Cricetulus griseus: one gene and its partners. The protein of the gene in region 3 interacts with the protein of the main gene of each other region in a pairwise test. Links are inferred from orthologs where the notes say so. Each region holds a gene or a part of one and is shown on either strand. Other genes may lie near its edges.

What was found. The genes of interacting proteins can lie anywhere in the genome.
Region 1: the proteins of Fam161a (region 3) and Ccdc57 interact in binary tests that used the Homo sapiens proteins (3 or more experiments, as listed by UniProt). The two-hybrid records come from large-scale screens. The link is inferred for Cricetulus griseus from reciprocal best matches to the Homo sapiens genes FAM161A and CCDC57.
Region 2: the proteins of Fam161a (region 3) and Hmbox1 interact in binary tests that used the Homo sapiens proteins (3 or more experiments, as listed by UniProt). The two-hybrid records come from large-scale screens. The link is inferred for Cricetulus griseus from reciprocal best matches to the Homo sapiens genes FAM161A and HMBOX1.
Region 4: the proteins of Fam161a (region 3) and Ppfia1 interact in binary tests that used the Homo sapiens proteins (3 or more experiments, as listed by UniProt). The link is inferred for Cricetulus griseus from reciprocal best matches to the Homo sapiens genes FAM161A and PPFIA1.

The regions. Positions count from the first base shown.
Region 1 is NC_048600.1:133,405,680-133,410,231, forward strand, and holds the start of Ccdc57 (coiled-coil domain-containing protein 57), read right to left. Parts: upstream 3,289-4,552; 5' UTR 3,114-3,288; intron 1-3,113. UniProt on the Homo sapiens protein: Pleiotropic regulator of centriole duplication, mitosis, and ciliogenesis. Critical interface between centrosome and microtubule-mediated cellular processes. Centriole duplication protein required for recruitment of CEP63, CEP152, and PLK4 to the centrosome.
Region 2 is NW_023276807.1:219,978,535-219,983,401, reverse strand, and holds the start of Hmbox1 (homeobox-containing protein 1), read left to right. Parts: upstream 1-1,579; 5' UTR 1,580-1,893; intron 1,894-4,867. Other genes in the region: Ints9 (integrator complex subunit 9), read right to left, coding at 1,095-1,103. UniProt on the Homo sapiens protein: Binds directly to 5'-TTAGGG-3' repeats in telomeric DNA. Associates with the telomerase complex at sites of active telomere processing and positively regulates telomere elongation.
Region 3 is NW_023276807.1:83,751,641-83,756,265, forward strand, and holds the start of Fam161a (protein FAM161A), read right to left. Parts: upstream 3,034-4,625; 5' UTR 2,963-3,033; coding exon 2,777-2,962; intron 1-2,776. UniProt on the Homo sapiens protein: Involved in ciliogenesis.
Region 4 is NC_048596.1:56,801,792-56,806,387, reverse strand, and holds the start of Ppfia1 (liprin-alpha-1), read right to left. Parts: upstream 3,289-4,596; 5' UTR 3,087-3,288; intron 2,199-3,086; exon of another isoform or gene 2,176-2,198; intron 2,055-2,175; coding exon 1,791-2,054; intron 1-1,790. UniProt on the Homo sapiens protein: May regulate the disassembly of focal adhesions. May localize receptor-like tyrosine phosphatases type 2A at specific sites on the plasma membrane, possibly regulating their interaction with the extracellular environment and their association with substrates.

The DNA.
Region 1 (4,552 bases), on a different chromosome or scaffold from region 3:
CATTTTTAAAAACATTAGAGCCAACATTATAAAACTACTTTTTCAACTAGGTAGTAAGTCTTTAAAAGCCTCTTGGGGGGGGGTTGGGGACTTGCCCCACAGGGCAGAGACCGCAGTGGCCACAAGCACACTGCATGAGCCAGAGGAGAGGTTCTTCTCTGTTCACAAAGCCATTTATCTTGGGGCTTCTGATTTCACTTATATAGTCAATCTGAGGCTACTCCCAGGGAAGTACATAAGGCCAAGAATGAGCCAAGTGTGTGCCAGCGGAGGCACAAAAGTTGGAGTCACCTTTTGGAGGCAATGGCGTCTGAATGTCACCCTCCCCCAGGAGTGCCTTCCCAGGGCACATGGAGGCATCCGGCAGTTACGTTTGTGTATCACTGTCACCCCAAAGAAGGTAGCAGTCTGACTCTCTGAGAGTCGGTCTTCTTTAGAAGTATATTTACAGAGATGAATAGTGACAGCAAACACATTGAAAGAGAGCCAAAGTGAAGATGATGGGGGTTGCCTCACCTATACTCAAATCAACAATAATCAACCAACCACAGACATAAAACTCATAATAGGGGCAGGGGGACCACAGGGGTTTGCTTTTGTGTTGTGATGTACGTATGCATGTAGGAGAGGGCACGGTGCGTGTGTGAAGAACGTGGCATTATACGTGTTGTCTGTAGGCTATGTGTATGCATGTGTGGTGCTGTGAAGGTATGTGAGTATGTTATAGCAAGGTGTGTGTGCTGTGTGTGATGTAATATAGGTGAGTGAGTTCAGGTGAGTTAGGGTATATTGTGTTATGTGTTTACACCAACTTCAGAGTTCCTAAGCCAGTAGCTGCTCTTTTTTAAATATTTTATTTATTTATTATGTATACAGTGTTCTAGAGGGCACCAGATCTTATAGATAGTTGTGAGCCACCATGTGGTTGCTGGGAATTGTGAACTCAGGACCACTGGAAGAGCAGCCAGTGCTCTTAACCTCTGAGCCATCTCTCCAGCTCCTAGGTGCTCTTTATATAAGCAAGGATACTACTTAGAGAAAAGTTCATTCATGAAATTACTGATAACAAAAATTAGTTACAGTCGGGCTGGAGAGATGGCTCAGTGGTTAAGGGCACTGGCTGCTCTTGAAGAGGGCCTGGTTCCTTTTCCAGAACCCACATGACCACTCACAAGCATTTGTAACTCCAATTCCAGGGGCTCTGATGCCTTCCTCTAGAGTCCACAAGCTCCTTCGTATATATGGTTCCACAAGCATACACACAGACATAAAATAAATGAAAATTTAAATTACAGTCCAAATCATCAGAACTAAAGAAACAAGAGTGCATTTCACAGGAAATAATGGATTTTTCCATTGGACAGTGGGCACAGCTTTGTGGCAGGTCTTCCTGTAAATTCTAAATCACCTAGAACAGGGCCTGACAGCTGCTCTGTAATGGACCAGGTAGTTAGTATCTGCCAGGGGCTTTGGGTCATGCTAAGTGCTCAGGGATTGGTTGGTTTTCTGCTCAGGGGCAGGACAGATCTGGTTTTGGTTTCAGGGCCCAAGTGTGTTTCTTTCACTGGTCCTTTTTAGCCTTTTGGCTCTAATTTTAGGGCCAGGATGTATTTCTTTCACTGGCTCTGATTATAGGGACAAAGCACGTTTCTTTGGCACTGGTTTCAGGGTCAGGGTGTGTTTCTTTGGTTCTAGTTGCCAGGCCAAAGTGTGTTTCTTTTTGGCTCTGCTCAGGCTGTGTTTCATCAGCTGGCCCCTTTTCCCTCATATGTTTTCTTTATAAGACTTGCCTTGGTCAGGTGTCTCTTCACAACAATAAAACAGTGACTAAGACAATGGGCTTATATTGGTCTATTTCTGAAGCTAAGGAGTAAATTCCTGCCTGGTGCTCATGGAAGAGTTTCATAAATAATTCCAGGATATAGGTGGAAGGACAGTGACCTGTGAGGTCTGATCTGTGGGGACATCAATAATCTCATTCTTCATGACAAGCCCCAGGCCTGTGTCATCCTGAATCCCTTGGAGCTGCTGAGTCTCCTTCACCTGCTATCTTCATGGAGGACTGGCCCTGTACCCAGACAGGAGCCCTGGAGAATACATTCTGTGCCTGTTTTCTGTGGCTCTCCCAGGGCCGCAGATGCCAGAGCAGTGGTTGAAACCTACTCTGATCCTGGTTCTAAATAAAGACCTTTGGAAACTAGATCCCAGTTTATCCTGAAAGGTCTGAATGGTTTATTCGGCTAACTTGTGATTCCTTTTCTCTACCCAACATAGCAAGAATAAAACATGGCTGGGTGGTGGTGGTGTATGCCTTTAAACCCAGGACCCAGAAACCAGAAGCAAGCAGATCTTCGAGTTAGAGGCCAGCCTGATCTACAGAGTGATTTTCATAACAGCCAAGGCTACATAGAGAAACCATGTCTCGAAAAACCAAAACCAAACAAAGCAATGAAAGAATAAAACGTGAAATTAAATGAAAAAAATCAGGAAGTTTTCACTGATGTATGCTAAAATTAGTCACTGAAAACACGGCTAGAAGCAGGACTTTACACAAGCAAGCACCTCCCCCGAAAGGTATTTATTATTTATAACGGGAAAATAGTAACCTAACTTTGCTTATTTAGTTACTTTTTTTGAGACAGGGTCTCTACTTAGCCATGGGTGTCCTGGAACTATGCAGACCAGACTGGCCTCGAACTCAGAGATCTGCCTGCCTCTGCCTCCCAAATGCTGGGATTAAAGGCGTGCCCAGAAGAAAACAGTAACTTTATGATAGCCATTTGATAGACACCACTGTCTCCTGGGAGGCACGAGGGCAGAATGCTAAATGTTAGTAACTCAATCTTATGTTAAATATCGGGCCAGCCGAGGATGAGATGCAGTCTACAAAATAACGGACTTATGAAGTCAGCGGGGCAGCGCGGCGCTGATCCAGGCTGCAGAGCAGGGGGAACACTGCGGCTAACGTGCTGATTCGGGGCACCCTGCACCCAGTGCCGCTGCCGGCCTCGCGATGGTCGCCCGAGGCTACTACTTCCTGAGGGAGGCGTCTGGGGAGCCTGGGTCAAAGCCCCACGGGAGCCGGAACCTGAAGCGATGGCCATGCCACTCACCCCGTGCTCCATCGGCAGGGCCCAGCGAAATCCTCGTCGCCTCCCGGCGCGCGACCAGGCACCGCGCCAGCCCGCTCTGGGGCCGCCGGGATTCCGAGCGCCAGCACTAGCTCGCCCGCTCGCCCGCCCTCCGGTCGCACCTCTAGCGCGGGCCACGTTACCATAGCGACTGGAGTCCGCGGCCTGGGTCCGGGTGCACTGTGAGCATCGCTCCGATCCCTCCGTGCAGAAACAGGAACCCCAACACAGAGTTCCGACCTCCGCGGGGTCCACACTGGCATTGAATAGGGTTTGCTGACCTGTGGGACTCCCTGAGTAGTGCAAAAGCCCGCACCTGTGGCGCTCTGTGTCCTCCCCCCAGGTGGCCTGAGGGTCCCCAGGGTGCCCATCTTGTAGCCCCAAAGGGCTAATTTCATCTGCGAGGAGGCGCCGGCAGGCGGACGGGCTGGGAGCTCAGGTGGAGAGCCTGCGAGTCGGGCGTGGGGAGTTGCTCCGTGGACGCAGATCTTTCCTGCATTGCGTTAGTGTAGCCTGCACTTGGGACTATGGCAAGGGTGCAGTGGACTGCACATGGCAAGGTTGGAGGGAGGTTGCACCGGGGGCCGATCACCAGGCGGGGAGGGGGGGCGCTAAGTGAAGGGATCGGTCGTACTTCGGAGCTCTGGGTGAGGGGCCACATTGAGTGCTCTCCAGGGTTTGCCCTGATACCTCAGGCATCAAAAGGTGAGCGTTTATGCAGGACCCAGGCTTTCATGGACTAAGTAGAGTTGAATGGAGTGAAGCAGGTTACTGGGAAGGGCCTGCATGAGCCCAACATCAGGCTTGCGTCTGTTGCAGGCGTGCCTCTGTTTCTGTCTTAGCTAGTCATTTAAATCCTCGGGTTATCTGAGGGCCAAGGAGATGGCTCAGTGGATGGGCGAGCCTGATGACCAGAGTTGCTCTCTGGGACCTACATAGTGGAAGAAGAAAACCAATTCCCTTGAGTTTTTCTCTGACTTCCATATGTTGTGGTGTGCATTCGCACCATCACACAAAATAAATAAATAAATAAATAAATAAATAGGTAAACTGTGTGGCCCAGCCCTGGGTCAGAAGCCAGCACTGACTCACACACCTCAGCCAGCACAGTTCCCAAGGGATGGGGAGTGTCTGGGAATCCCGTGCTCCAGGAGGGCAGCATCCAGTGGTCTAGCGTCATTCCTACTTTCCTGCCTTACATTCTGTAGTCTTCCTAACCCCATCAGTCTTTCCCTTGTACTCGCTGTTCCCACTTCCTGATAGCATGCTTGGTGCTTGATCTGAACCCTCCCCCAGACAGCTTGCCTTTGTCCTTCCGCTGCTATCTCCTCAGCCATATCTGAATCTCTTGGACCCCTAAGGGCCTTTCGTTCTATTAGAATGTGAGGAAGAACCAGCTGTCAACTCTTTGCTACCTAATT
Region 2 (4,867 bases), about 140 Mb from region 3:
AAAACCCGTTGGTAGCCACAGCACACAAATTTAACCTATTGAGAAACTATTTTTTGAAATCACTTTGGTGTATGTACAGTAATTCTGCATTAAAGGTCACTTGGATTAATTATGGAAATCTACACTTGGTTTGAAATCGAAGAGAGAGGGAGTGTTAATTAGAACTCTTCCTTTCCTTGGTGTCAGCTTTTGATTCTGAAAGCAAAAGGCTAATTTTTCATTTGTTCCTTTCCCATTTTAACCTTACATATAAATCAAGCAATAGGATTTTATGAGTGAAGCAAAAAAAAAAAAAAACATAAACTCTGATACCCTCATAAAAATTGTTCTGGGATAAACATTTGCACACCACTTCCTTCTCAAACCGAACCAACCAAATATGCCTTACATTGAGGACATTTATCTCCCTGTAGATAATGTCCAACTCTATCAATTATCCCATTACACTTGAATAAAACAACCTGTTAGAATGGTGTGCTCAATAAAATGGCTCAAAGCAAAGATCTGAGAAGTCTGCCTAACTCTTGCCACACAGTGACTTCTCCAGAAAGCGTGTTCCATCCACCTAGAGCTGTTTATTTCGCGCAGGCCCTAAACTGGAATGCTTCAACACTGCTCTGGCTAAATCCTTCACGAGCACCCTCTAGCACCGCTTTCTCTTAATTCGAAAGGCAGTTAGGATGTAGCAGGACATTTAATGAGCAATGCCTAAGTCCGGCTTTGCAACATCAGTAGGGAATCCACTGAAGAGCTTATCAAGTGGAAAGAGGGGATGACCCATTATAACTCTCAGGTGGGAGCCGAGAAACACGACCAAACAAAAGTTTTAGAGTTTCCTCGAGGATGAAGAAATGTAATATTCAGCTTCATGTTTGGCCAAAGGGGCCTACCAAACAGTAATGAATGACATCCTGACAGGGAGTGTGGTGTGTATGCAAGAGGGAATTCAAATCTCAACTGCAAAACCCAGCTCGCCACAGTTCACCTCACTTTAGTTTTCTAACTGCTGACCTACCTCCGCGACAAGTCATGGTGGAGGCCACAGAATCCAGAGGGCATTATCTTTGCCCTCTGACTTAGGAGAGGAAACTCACCAGTTTCATATTGGAGTTTTGGTTGTTAAGCACCACTCTCTTCACTTCTCAAAGCAGGGAAGCGTTTTCCGGTTCAATCTCCGCCACAGAGAGCATCGCGGGAGTTGAAGTTTTCCTTTCTCACGCACTTTCCGGAGCATCACGGGAAATGTAGTTTTACTGAAGGAATTATGGGAGCTGTGACCGTCTTTCCTTTTCCTCCCTGTTCTCTTTAAACGCCTCCTTCTGCCCCCTTAAATTCGTCGCCGCCGCCAATTCATCCTTCCTTTCCATCCCTGAATGATATCATGACCCCCACCCCCTTCCCGATCTGAAATCCTTGTTATTCTGGGATATGTAGTCCACACTGCTCCAGTTCCCGGCTCCCCCTTCCCTGTGGGAAGGCGTATGGGCGCAGTGCCTTCTGGAAGCTGTAGTTCCCTGGGGCCTCGGACCCCTAGCTCTGCACTTTTCCTCTAGGGAAACGGAAACTACAACTCCCAGGGATGCCCGGCGGCAGCAGGTGGGAGCGGGGCTGTTGCTATCAATATGGCGGTTGTCAGCCAGACAAAGACAGTCAGTCTGATGTGATTGAGACAAGCGAGGTTTTCAGGGGGAGACTGAGAGACAGAGGGCTACCCTCCCCCCTCTGCTCTTCCTGCGCGGGCCTGGAGCCCTCCTCAGCCCCTCCCGCAGGGCGCCCCGCGGTGCAGATCCCCTCCCCCTCCCGTTTTCCTCCTCCCTCCCTCCCTCAGCCTTGCTCTGGGACGCTGGGGAGGGGGCTGAGCCCGGGTGCAGAGAACTCATCTGGGTTTCCGAGGTGAGTGGGGTCGTTTGCGACCCGGACTGCCTTAAGTTCTTTCCTCACTTCTTTCATTACTTTAAGGGGAAAAAATGTTTTGGAGGGGTTTGGGGGGAGAGAAAGTGAGTAGGCGCCACAGATGGGTCTCTGGAGTGGCTGCGTTGGGGAGGGAGCAAGTGAGGGAGAAGGGGGCTCCCGAGGGGGCGGCGGTGCGCGGGCTGTGGGGTGGGGCAGTTTGTGAGGGGCTGGCGCAGAGAGGCGACGGCGGCTCCCTAACTTCTCCCTGGTCTCCAGGACCGGCGGAAGGTTTGAATTCTGGAGGTGGGGTCTTCCTGCTTGCGAGTTTGAGCAACTGTGAGGTGGTTTCGAGGTGTGCTGGTTTGTTTGGGGAGTGTCTCGCTGTTTTAAACTGTGACGTGTACTCGGGTGCTGGGCTCGTCTTGAAGGAATGTCTGTAGATGGTAAGTTAGATAGTCGAAGATAAGCGGCCTGGGCTTGGGAAGCATGCGTGAGTCCCGGGCTGGACTTTTGCTCTGTGGACCTTGTGCAGGCTTTTGGGGGTTCGGCAACTCATTCGTGTCTGGTGGCTAGCTCACACTCCGTGCCCTCTTCTGGGCCAATCTCCACCCCAAACTCCCGACGGCAGGACTGTACAAATGATGTGATGTGGAGATGCATTTTGCCTCCTCAAGTCCGCAGCTAAAGGTGGGAAAGGAAAAGTGTCTCTTAATATTTTATTCCGGAACCGTGTTTTGGTTACACTATTGGGGCTACTTTGAAAGGAGTCCTCTGCCCACCTTTACCCCGAAACAGTAAGTAAAGGTATCTTGTCATCTTCATGCTCAGTGGCTTGCTTGCCAATTATTTAAAATTCGGGGACGTGGGGTTGGGAGTCTGGAGTGCTAAATGGCATATGCATCTGTGTCTACTAATGAGACAGAATGTCTGCTGTGTGCCCTAAGGTAGATAGGGCGACTTATTTTCGTAGTTGAAAAAACTGTTGGAAATTATTTTCGGGGAAGAGGGTTGGTGGTGCGCTGGAAGGCGCTGCATCTATTTTTCTTCTACCCCACCCTGTTCTGTCTCACATTTGCTTGAAAACTGGTATGGAAGAGTGAGGAAGCATGGGTAAGTGAAGCAAAGAATTCACTTAGCAGTAAAGATACATGCCATGTAAAGTTGAAGGATAAAAGTGATTGCTATGTTGTCGGATGCTTAAAAAAAAAGACCTTGTGTGTTGTGTAGGGTACAGTCACGTGCTGCTTTTTCTGGGGACCTACAGATAATGGAAACCTTCGCCTACTCCTTTCCTATCTTCTCTTCCCTTTCTTCCTCCTCCCCCTCCTTCCTTCCTTCCTTGGCACAGAACATTTCTCTTCCTGATGGACATAATAATACCTCCTGTGCTTTTTTTAAAATTTTGCTTACTTTGTGCTAATATGGGTTGTGCTTTTTGTGGTTTCACTATAAAATGCATCATTAAGTGAAAAGAACCCGAATTTGTTGTTATTTCGCATTTATGCCACAAGTAATTATCACATCAGGTTTCTAGTGCTTTGCATTAGACTTATTAAAATTGCACAACTAAGTTGCTAGATCTGGTTGAATTATGCTTATAAGTCAAGTTTAGAAAATCTGATTTTATTTTTCAATTTTCAAATTAGAGTTGGAATGAAACATCTCTTGTTTCTCACAGTCTTGAATATTTAATGACCTTACACCAGGAGAATTTAAGATCATACATTTTGTACTCCCTCAGTCCAAAATACAACTTCTTCAGTGACTGTGTTAATTTTGTTGTATTACAGACTTTTAAATAACCAAAAGAATAATTGGTATCATTTCTATTTGACTTGAGAATTTAACGTATTTGTATATTTGGTCAAAATGTATCAGTTCTTAAATGTTTCATCTATCAGGAAGGGGCTTTTAGATTCCATAGCATCTGAAAGCAACATAGATGCACTGGGATTTTGTGGTAGGTTTAGCCTTTGTTTTGAAATTTTTGCTGTTGATTATTCACACAGATAAGGGGACTGTTAGCATGAAGTTGAGCATTTTCTATTTAAATTGACCTGAATAGAATTTCGTATACTGAATGTGCTATGCCAAGCTCTGCCTTTGGTTTGTTGAAGACAGGGATTTTCAGAATTGCTTGTTTTAAGCCTTACCTTAACCTGAAACATTAATTTTCAAAAACTGGGAGAAAATTCCATGGAACAGTATAATAGCTGCTTACTTGTGTTTTTATGAAATGTGTTCTGATAGTCATGGAATTTTTAAGTGTTTAATAGTCATTTTAGACATGTCAAACTGGAACGCTCCAATCTAGAAAAATGAGTGTTTTTCATCTACCCTTTCCTCATATCTTCTTTTTGTTTATTTTCATCAATGGATATGTGAAGTTATTTATGGGAAAAGCATTTGTTAAACTTTTTCTGACGAGTAGTCTGGTAAAAAAAAAAAAAAAATGACTCCATGTACACCAAGTATTTCTTGCATTCACCAGGCTGATTCTGTTGCTTTTTGAGCACAGGGGCATTAAAATGATGTAAAGCCTTTACTGCAGGCTAAAGCATAAAACATTCTCAGCATGTGAAAGTCATATGGTTTATGAAAAAGAGTGAAGAACCAGGGCATTGGTGCCTGTCCAGCTTAAAATTTTATCCTGTAACTGTAAAGACATATTTATTTTAATCTGATCATTTCTAAAAAATGTGGCCTCTATTACGGGAAGTTGAAAATGCAAGCTGTTTTTAACCAGTCTGCTGCTAGTTCTGTGCACAGCATATAGGGAACACTGTTTAGTCAGGAAAGTGCATCAAGGAAAGGAACCCAGAGCAATGTGTTGAATGCTTTTCCAGAGGCCTCATTCGAACTGCTGGGTGCATTTCATCTTCTAGCCAAGTAGAAACTTAATATCTCTATTTTTCTAAGTTGTAACATGAATGGTAACAAAGACCTCATTCTATTCTGGCCATTTTATACTAAG
Region 3 (4,625 bases):
GTTAATGCAAGCAAAACTCAAATAAACTCTCCTGGTTGTTTCACTTTTTTTTTTTTTTTTTTTTTTTTTGGTTTTTCGAGACAGGGTTTCTCTGTGTAGCTTTGGAGCCTATCCTGGCGCTCGCTCTGGAGACCAGGCTGGCCTCAAACTCACAGAGATCCGCCTGCCTCTGCCTCCCAAATGCTGGGATTAAAGGCAGGCGCCACCAACGCCCGGCTGGTTGTTTCACTTTTAACCTAGAACAGATGAATGGCTGCGAAATAACTCCTGATTCTAGTTTTACCTTCGCCCTTTGCCCCAGGATCATGTAGTGTGCCGGACACCACATGCAACACTCGGTTATCTTCTCCCCTCTTGATAGTTAAGCTTTTCATGTTGTAAGCACCACTAGGTAAGGCACTAATCCTGAGATTGGCTTGACCCACTTACGGATGAACCAACCCTCTCTGAGGTGGTACTAGTGTCAGCACCATGAGGAATTATTTGTGTTGTGGTCTACAGAGTTTATCTGAAGTTCTGGAATTCTTCCTAAACTTTTCTTCTTTTCAGTGCTGAGCCTGGTAGCACTCAGAAGGCAGAAGGACCCTGAGTTCAAGGTCAGTTTGAGCTACATAGTGACTCGAGACTGGCCTGTTCTACATGAGGTCCTTTGGACCCAGGCACGGAGGCACATGACTTTAATCTGGGCGGTAAGTCTCTTTGAAGCCCAGCCTGTCTCCATGAGTTCTAGGCCAGCCAGGGCTACACAGTGAGAGACTGACTCCAAAAGAGAAGAAAAGAGGGGAGAGAAGGAGGAAGAAAGGAGGAGGAAGGAGTTTTACAACAATGTTGAGTGAGATATGCATACCTCAGCCTCCAGAAGTACTGAGATTATAGCTGTGAGCCATTGCAGCCAGCTAATGTTTGAGATTTATTTGTTTGTTTGTTTATAGTTTGGGACAAGGTCTTGCAATGTTGCCTGGGCTGGGCTGGAACTTTCCATGTAGTCTGGGCTGGTCTCAAACTCACAGTTCTTCTGACCCAGTTTTCTAAATGCGCTAACATTATATATTTGGAAAGGAGACTATATTCAGTGGTTATCACCATAACTGACATGTAGCTTTCCAAACAATAGACAACATTTTATGAATGCTAATACCAAATTATAGACACCAAGCAATGTCTAGTGATACCTGGCCTGCTCGACACCTTGTGTTCCTTTGGAAAATGGCTCCCATTACCCCAGCAACTATGCTTGCATTTCCCTTGCTCCTCTGGCTGCTCCCAGGCGTACCCACAAATTGCTCTTATAACCCTTTCTTTAGGAAAACAGAAACCACCAGAGGAACAGTCACTCATCTTCCCACCTACTCCCCTCTGGAATACACTGTTCTCTATTCTTCACATTTAAGGATCTGAAATCACAGCAACTAACATGCCACCCACTGTTTCTCAGTGAATATGGGATCCTCCTGACCCTTATCGTAGTCCTCCTCCCATGGTGGCTAATCCTTAATCTCTCTCTCTCTCTCTCTCTCTCTCTCTCTCTCTCTCTCTCTCTCTGTGTGTGTGTGTGTGTGACCTCACTTTTTGAGTGGGGGCTCTCAGTAAGTTTCAGGGATGTGCCTGTCTCTTTCCTTTCCAACACTGGGATTACAGACAAATGCCAACATACCAGGTTTTTACTTGGGTCCTGGAAACCCAAACTAAGTTTATAATGTAAATCTTTAGTTAACAGGCACTCTGAAATATAACTACAACTATACAAAGAATGGATCTTTATGCCACAACAAGCCAAAGTATAAATTAATTTCCAAGTAAATTATTCAAACTGGCAGTTGTTATAATTACTACTAATTTATGTAAATTACTTCGTAGAAATGACACTCATGCTTTCCTTTGGTTCTTATTAACAACTGAACAAGGTAAAAAAAACGGAGACAACTATAGTCCTTTATAGATAAGGAAAAGGAAGTCATGTCCTAAAGTCACCCAGGATCCAAATACTTCTCTCCATCAAATATTCTGTCTTCTGTAATCTATTACAACTTATACTGAATGGTAGCTTTATCAAGTATAAAACCCGTGCTAGGATTCTGAGCCTCACTCATGTTCAGCTTCTCCATCTGCTTTAATCTAAACAACTTCAAGTTGGTTGCTTTTCAAAGTTTGCTACAGGCTAGGCTTGGTGTCTCATTACATTTAATCCCAGTATTTGGAAGATGGAGGATCAGGAGTTTGAGGCCATCCTAGACCAAAAGAGACCCTGTCTAAAATAAAACAAAAAAAGCCAAGGTCATGGGTCGGTTAGTACAAACACTGGCCTAGCAAGCACAAAACAAAAGTCTCCATCCAGTCCTAGCACTGCTAGGAAACCAAGTGTGGCAGGCACATGCCTGTGTGTCTGGGTCTTTGTATCAGCATAGTGCTAGCTGAAACTCAAAGTTCTGGACTTTTAAAGTGAATAGAAGCTGGGCATGGCACACACCTTTAAACCTAGCACTCCAGAGGCAGAGCTCTGCGAGTTTGAGACCAGCCTGGTGAATTCCAGGACAGTCAGGGCTGCATAGAAAGACCCTGTCTCAAAAAAACAAACAATTATTCCCAAAATATGCTAGAGAATAGGAAGTAAAGTTCTGTTCTTTGCACACTCTAGAAACAGCTATAAAAACGCTCTCCAAAAAAGTTCTGCAGCAATTTTTAGTCGGGGCAGAGAGCAGGGCACCTCGTTTCCACCGGTCCCCGCCGCCGGTGAGGACCAGGACTAGCCGTAGCCCCAGCCCGACTCCCACATTACCAACGCCCGCGCCGGCCGTGTCTCTGTCTTCTGTTCCTCCTCCAAGGCCACCGCCAACGCCGACGACACCAAGGTCTCCAAGACGTCTTCGCGTTCGTTCTGGGCGACCCTTGGTTCGGTGGTGGGATTCACCGGCAGGTGGAGACTGCCGGACACCAGCCTGGCCGCCCGGTGCAGCGAAGCCATCTCCCGCCTCGAGCCCGAGCGCCCGCGCCGGCCCGGGGCGGGTGAGCTGGCGCCGCCCTCGACTTCGCAGATCCTGGTTTGGGGCGGGCGGTTACTAGGGGCTCGGTTACTAGGTACGCTACAGGAGGTGCGAGGGTCCAAAAGACACGCAATGTCCTTTCTCATTGTCACAAACCCGAGCCCTCCATCCACCTAAAGTCTAATGATGGTTTCTGATAGAAGCCTGCGGTGAACGGGGCATTCTAGAAGCATAACTATCTGAAGCTACACAAATGACCACCACAGCAAGCCAAAATAAAACGTAATTTCCAAGAGAGTTGCTCAGTGATCGTCTCATCGGCGCCGAGATAATAACAGATTCACGAGAATGAGACCCAGCTCTCCGGCTAGGGACTGAGCCTTGCTTTATTTCGGTCTAATCACCTAAACTTTAAACAGAAAGAGCGCATTTTTACTAACTGGATCAACATATTGGGGCACAACGGAAGAGGAAAGCACCGGCTGTTGTGTGACCGCCCTAGAAAAGGACAGGCTTTGCAGCACGCCATCCAACATGGCAGAGAACGAGGTTTATCTCTAATTGACAAGAACCAGCACGAGTTGACCAATCAGAAGGAGAATACTTAGTTATCCCTCCCTCTTTTGCATCGGCTGACCAGTAAGAGGCCAGACATGGAAAGCGCCAGTAGCTACAACCAGTGAGTGACGTAGGTAGTTTGCCTTGGGTTCTGCAGCTAGCTAGTTGCAGGACTGGAAGCGGGGGTGGGGGTGGGGGGTGTGAAGGGGGGGCACAGGGACCACACCCTCCCAATTCACCCCCGCCAACCTTCCGATCACCTTTAGGCCCCTTCGGGTGGTCTCTCAGTGGGTACGGTGAAGTCTCAGCCCAGCTAACGTGACTGTACAGACATAAGGTTCCAGTAGTTTCCGTATTAGGCGGCACACCTTCTACGGAACCTGTCCCTGACGCACCTGCTACCAGGCCTTTCTTGTTCGCCCTTTTATGCATGAGCACCTGTGAAGTCTCTGTCACCATACTCCACCTGTTTTGGTTGATCATGCTTCTCCAAACGGAACTGATAAGCCAGTTGGTTCTGAAAAGCCAGGGGGTGGGGTGGGATCCATAGTCGTCCAACTGACAGGACAGTGACCTCCTGTCAGTCACATGCAAGTTGTTCTGTGATGGGATTTGGTGTAAATCAATTCTAGACCAAGACAGATCTACAGACTGTAAGTGGTTGGCTTGAGGAAAATAAACTAGTGAGTAATGGGTAGGCAGGACATTAGTGTGTACACAGAACAGAAAGGTTCAGTTCACTGACAGCATTCTTAATTTGCAGTCATCAGTAACACAAGAATATGGAGCAGAAATGGGCAGATCTGCAAGAAAATAGCATCATCGTAGAACTGCTTTTACACTTTTGTATTAAAATGTAACTATACAGAACAGTGAAATGAATAGTTGTGAATGTATAGCTACATGAATTCTGACAAGTGAATAACCATGATTTCACCACCTTATTAAGACACAACTTTGGCCAGGCATGGTGGTACAAGTCTTTAATCCCAGCACTTGGGAGGCAGGCAGATCTCTGTGGGTTTCAGGGCACCCTGATCTACATAGTGTATTTCAGGTTAGCCATGGCTTCATAGTGAGACCTTG
Region 4 (4,596 bases), on a different chromosome or scaffold from region 3:
CAAAGGCACATACTTGTGACCTGTGGATCCTCATGCATTCTCCATTGTAAGGACACTGACTGGACACATAGGCCCGTCTGGTCACATTTTTAGCCATCAGAGGACCCTGATTCCAGGAAGGGAATGGTCTGAAATAAGTTTACTCTATAACACTAGACTCAGGTCAGCTCTGACATAACTGTGGATACCAGCATGTCCTAATTCAATGAGGCACTGCAGAGCAGCAGCCAGCTTCACCTGGCAACAGGCTCCCTAGCAAGTTCCATGCTTGCTGCCTGAAACCCACACTGCCCACAACACGGTCAGTTCTGTGACCCCAGTGCCTGTTCTTTCCAAAAACCTAAGCGTTGGCCAAACACTGCTGCAACAAACACAATTGCAAAGCAGAGCAATTGGAACTCACAGCATCTTAAAAACCTCTTCAACACGTGACAACAAAATCTGACCTAATTAACCTGCTAATTCCTAAGACTCCAGGAAGAAATGATTCTCTAGCCCCCAAACAAAAACTCCCAGCACACAACACTAATACCAAATTGTTTCTAAAAAGGACATTCAAACGTTTAGTCCAATCTTACAGAAATGACTACAGCCAAGAGATGCATCAAGGCAGTGATTATTCACTTGCGAACTGATCTCTGCAACCCCACCGTGAGAGCATAAGTGCAGCTTCCTTGAGCACCATGAAGATACCGATCACGAATGAACAAAGTGGGCTCGTCAGCACAAAGCTAAGCAACCCCTGTTCCATGTGCCTTTCACCTTGGGTTTTGCAGGCTATCCCACTTTCTCCTTCCCCTACCACTGACTCTGGAAGAGAAGGCTCTAGCACACCAATTCAGATGTAATACTAAAGATACACAAGGTGTTTCAAGCTCTGAAAGTCTCATCTACCCAGGAAGAGGAGGAGCCTTGGGATTCAATGTTCAATCATTTCTCCCCTGAAACAAAGTTTCATTACAGCTCTTGTAATGTTCAAGAAAGCCTCTGAAGACTTTACCAATGGAATCAGTCCTAGTTATCCACAAGATTTCCTCAGGAAATTGGAAATCCACAAGACACAAACCAGGATTAAGACATAAAATCCCAGAGATCCACTCCTCACAGGTCCACAGCAGGCATGGACAAGTCTAAGACACAGAATGGGAGACACTACATAGCTCATTGCTTCACAGCCCCAGTCAAAGCATAGCCAGGTACTCTGGTGGTGCATACCTTTAATCCCAGCACTGAGGAGGCAGAGACAGGCTGATCTCTGAGTTCAAGGCCATCCTGGTCTACAGTGTGAGTTCTAGGTAAGCCTAGGCTACACAGAGAAACCAAACCAAACAAAACAGCAACAACAAAAACCCAACTCTGAAACACATTCCCAAATCTAGGCAGTTACCCAAAAAGGCACAACAGTGCAGCAGTGTGGTCACATGGCTTTGGAGAATACCCATTTATTCCCAAACTGAATTCCATGGGAATTTTACCTGTGCTTAGAAAACACCAGAAACCGGGCGTTGGTGGCGCATGCCTTTAATTCCAGCACTTGGGAGCCAAAGGCAGGTGGATCTCTGTGAGTTCAAGGCCAGCCTGGTCTCCAGAGCGAGTGCCAGGATAGGCTCCAAAGCTACACAGAGAAACTCTGTCTCGAAAAACAAAAACAAAACAAAACAAAACAAAAACCCACCAGAAACATCACTTTCCTAGTGGTTACACAAAACAGTCAGCAAGCTAACACATTAACAAGATCATCCCACAGACATTTAGTGGCAGACACCTTGGTTTCAGTTTGGTTGGCATACCTGTGGAAGCGCAGTGTTGAGCTGCCTCTGCAAGGAATCTCTTTCATGACCAACCTCATGCAATTTCCCCTGGGTTAACGCCAGTGTTTCTTGTGTCTCTCTCAGAGTGTCCAGAAGGCGGTCTCGTTCTTCCAGCATGGAGACCATGAGCTGCTCAAAATGTGAATCAGCATCTGGCTGTGAAGGGGAGCCTGACCCACGGCTTCCACCTCCTCCTGGGGGGCCTTCCGCTTCACTAATGGTCGGCATCACCTCGCACATCATCTTGAAACAGGAAAGATGCAGACAATAGTCAGTAGGTGCAGAACAAGCCTGCAGCTTTCCGAGCACCACCTGTGGCTGATGAGCAAATGCTGACAAGTCCCACACTGTCAGAGCTGCTCACCTTGGATGCACACACTATGGCAAGTAGCATGCACGGACCAACAGGAAGAGCAGACTGGGAGATGGATGCCACAGTCCCAGGAGCAAGGGGAGCTGGAATGCTCACCTCTCCCACCCAGGGCAAATCAGCGGAGTCTGTTGAAAATCCGCACTCTCAGCAGCTGAAGACAGTGGGCTTCTGTTAACTTATTTTGTTCTTCTCCAGGAAGAGACATTCAAAACATATTCCCTCAACACCAGAAGACGGCTGAGAACTGACAAGCACCAGCGCTATGGACCAAGGCATCTTCCAGGAATGTGTGCAGTCAGCTCCTGGGAAGGACTGCCGGGCTCCCTGACTTGTGGGGCTGGATATTTGGTGAGCAGCGGAAAAAGCAACTGGATTGGCTCTTTAAGGCCTGGACAGAGGTGTTTTTGCAAAGGCCTGCTGCTGTGCAACGGTTGGTCAGCCAAGCTAACTTACATAAGTTTACAGTCAAAGAGGGGGCAAAAGAAAAGAGAGAGTTTCCACACTGAGAATCTAGGAAGTCGGGACAGCAAGACTAGATAATAAAGAAGGAGAAGAGAAAGGTGAGATGGCACTAGAGATTGCCAGGGCACAGGGCGGGGGATGAAGGGGATGTCCTGCAGGTGCACCTGATCATGCCGGGATGATCCTGCCATCGAGGACTCCGCTGGTCCTGCCTGGCTCAATTGACCCCAGTCTCACTGCCCCCAACCTCGCTGACCCTGGCCAATTTAAGCTGACTCAGACCTAACTGATATCAACCCGCCTTGGCTGACCCCGGCTCGGCCAGGCTAATCCCAATCTTGCTGACCCCCCTCCCGCTGACCACCTCCCGCTGACCCCGCCGACTCGGCCCCGCCGACCCCGGCCCGCCACCCTGCGCGGCCCGCTCCGCCCGCCCTTACCTTGGCCGGCGGGCGCGGCTCCGGGGCTACGCGGCAGCCTTCGGGCGGCGGCCGGCTGCGGGCCGACCCACGCAGCCCCGCAGCTGCGTCCTCGCCCGGCCCCCGGGTCCGCCGCCCCGCTCGTCACGAAGGCCGGCCCGCCGCCGCGGGACACTGGCGAGCGCAGAGGACCGGGCCCGGCGCGTCGCCGGCGTCAACGTGCCTGACGTCCGGCGCGTCGGCGCGAGCGTCAGCACCGCCCCCTGAGGGAGAGACGGCCACGGAGCTATGCGCATGCGCCAGCTCCGCGGTAGTGGGAGGGCGGCCTTTCCCGAACGTCAATTGGCTATTTCTCTCTTTAGCCGCACCCTCCACTCCGCCCCCGAGCCAGGCCAAGCCCCGCCCACCGGTGGATTCACAGGTAAAGAACTATGGCAAGTGCGCGCAGTTTTCAGTCCTGCTGTTTTCCGTGCTGTCACTCCAGCGCGTGCGCTGACGTCACCCGAACGCCCACTCTCAGACCCAAGAGTTCTGCTGAGTCTCCGAGTCGCGCCGGGCCATCTGCAGGACCGAAAAATGATGACAGAGACCGGGCAAGGTGCCTGCCTGGAGCTTATGGCCTAGCCTTCAGAAGTCTGAGGCAGGAGGATTGCTTCGAGTTGGAGTCCCTGTCTCTAAAAATACAAAGGCGACTGCCGTCAACCCTGACGACTGAGTTCGATCTCTGAGACCCAGAAGAACTGCATTAAATAGATGCAGTTCTAGGAACCCACGTGGTCCTGAATGTTATCCTCTGACCTGTACACGCCTTGTGACTCTCATGCATGCACACACATGCACACACACACACACACACACACACACACACACACACACACACACACACAAATGAGTAAGCAAATGTAAAAACAAAACACAAAATTTAAGGGCTCAGCCACCCTTGCAAGTATGAGAACCTCCATTCCACTGCCCGAACCCACATAAAATAAAAAGCCAGCCAGTCTTGATGCTGCAAGCCTTTATTCCCAGCATTCAGGAAGCAGAGGCAAGGTGATCTCTGTGAGTTCCAGGCCCACCTGGTCTACATACTGAGTTCCAAACCAGCCAGGCAGCCAGGGATAGTGAGATCGCTTGGAGAGAGAGGGGGGGGGGTCTTCATAGAGCTGCACGGAGAAGATCCCATCCCACTGCTTGCTAATGCTCAAGAGTTTTCCCAAGCTTTCTGGCTGTGGAAATCTCGGCTCCTGATGCTTTGCACCCATTCACTATAGACCATATATCTGCAGAGATGGCTGTGAGGAACAGAGACTACAGGACCATTGCCCCCTCTGAATCACAGAGACATGGCTGACATTCAAGGTGTTTTGTTTGTTTGTTTGGATTTTTATCCCATTTATTTGTTTATGTTGTGTGTATCTATGTGTCTAAGAGTACGTCTGCATAAGTACATGACTCAACTTGAATAGAGGCCAGAGGACAACATGCAGTAGCCATTTCCCTCTTTCAACCACGTGAGTCCCAAGGATCAAAT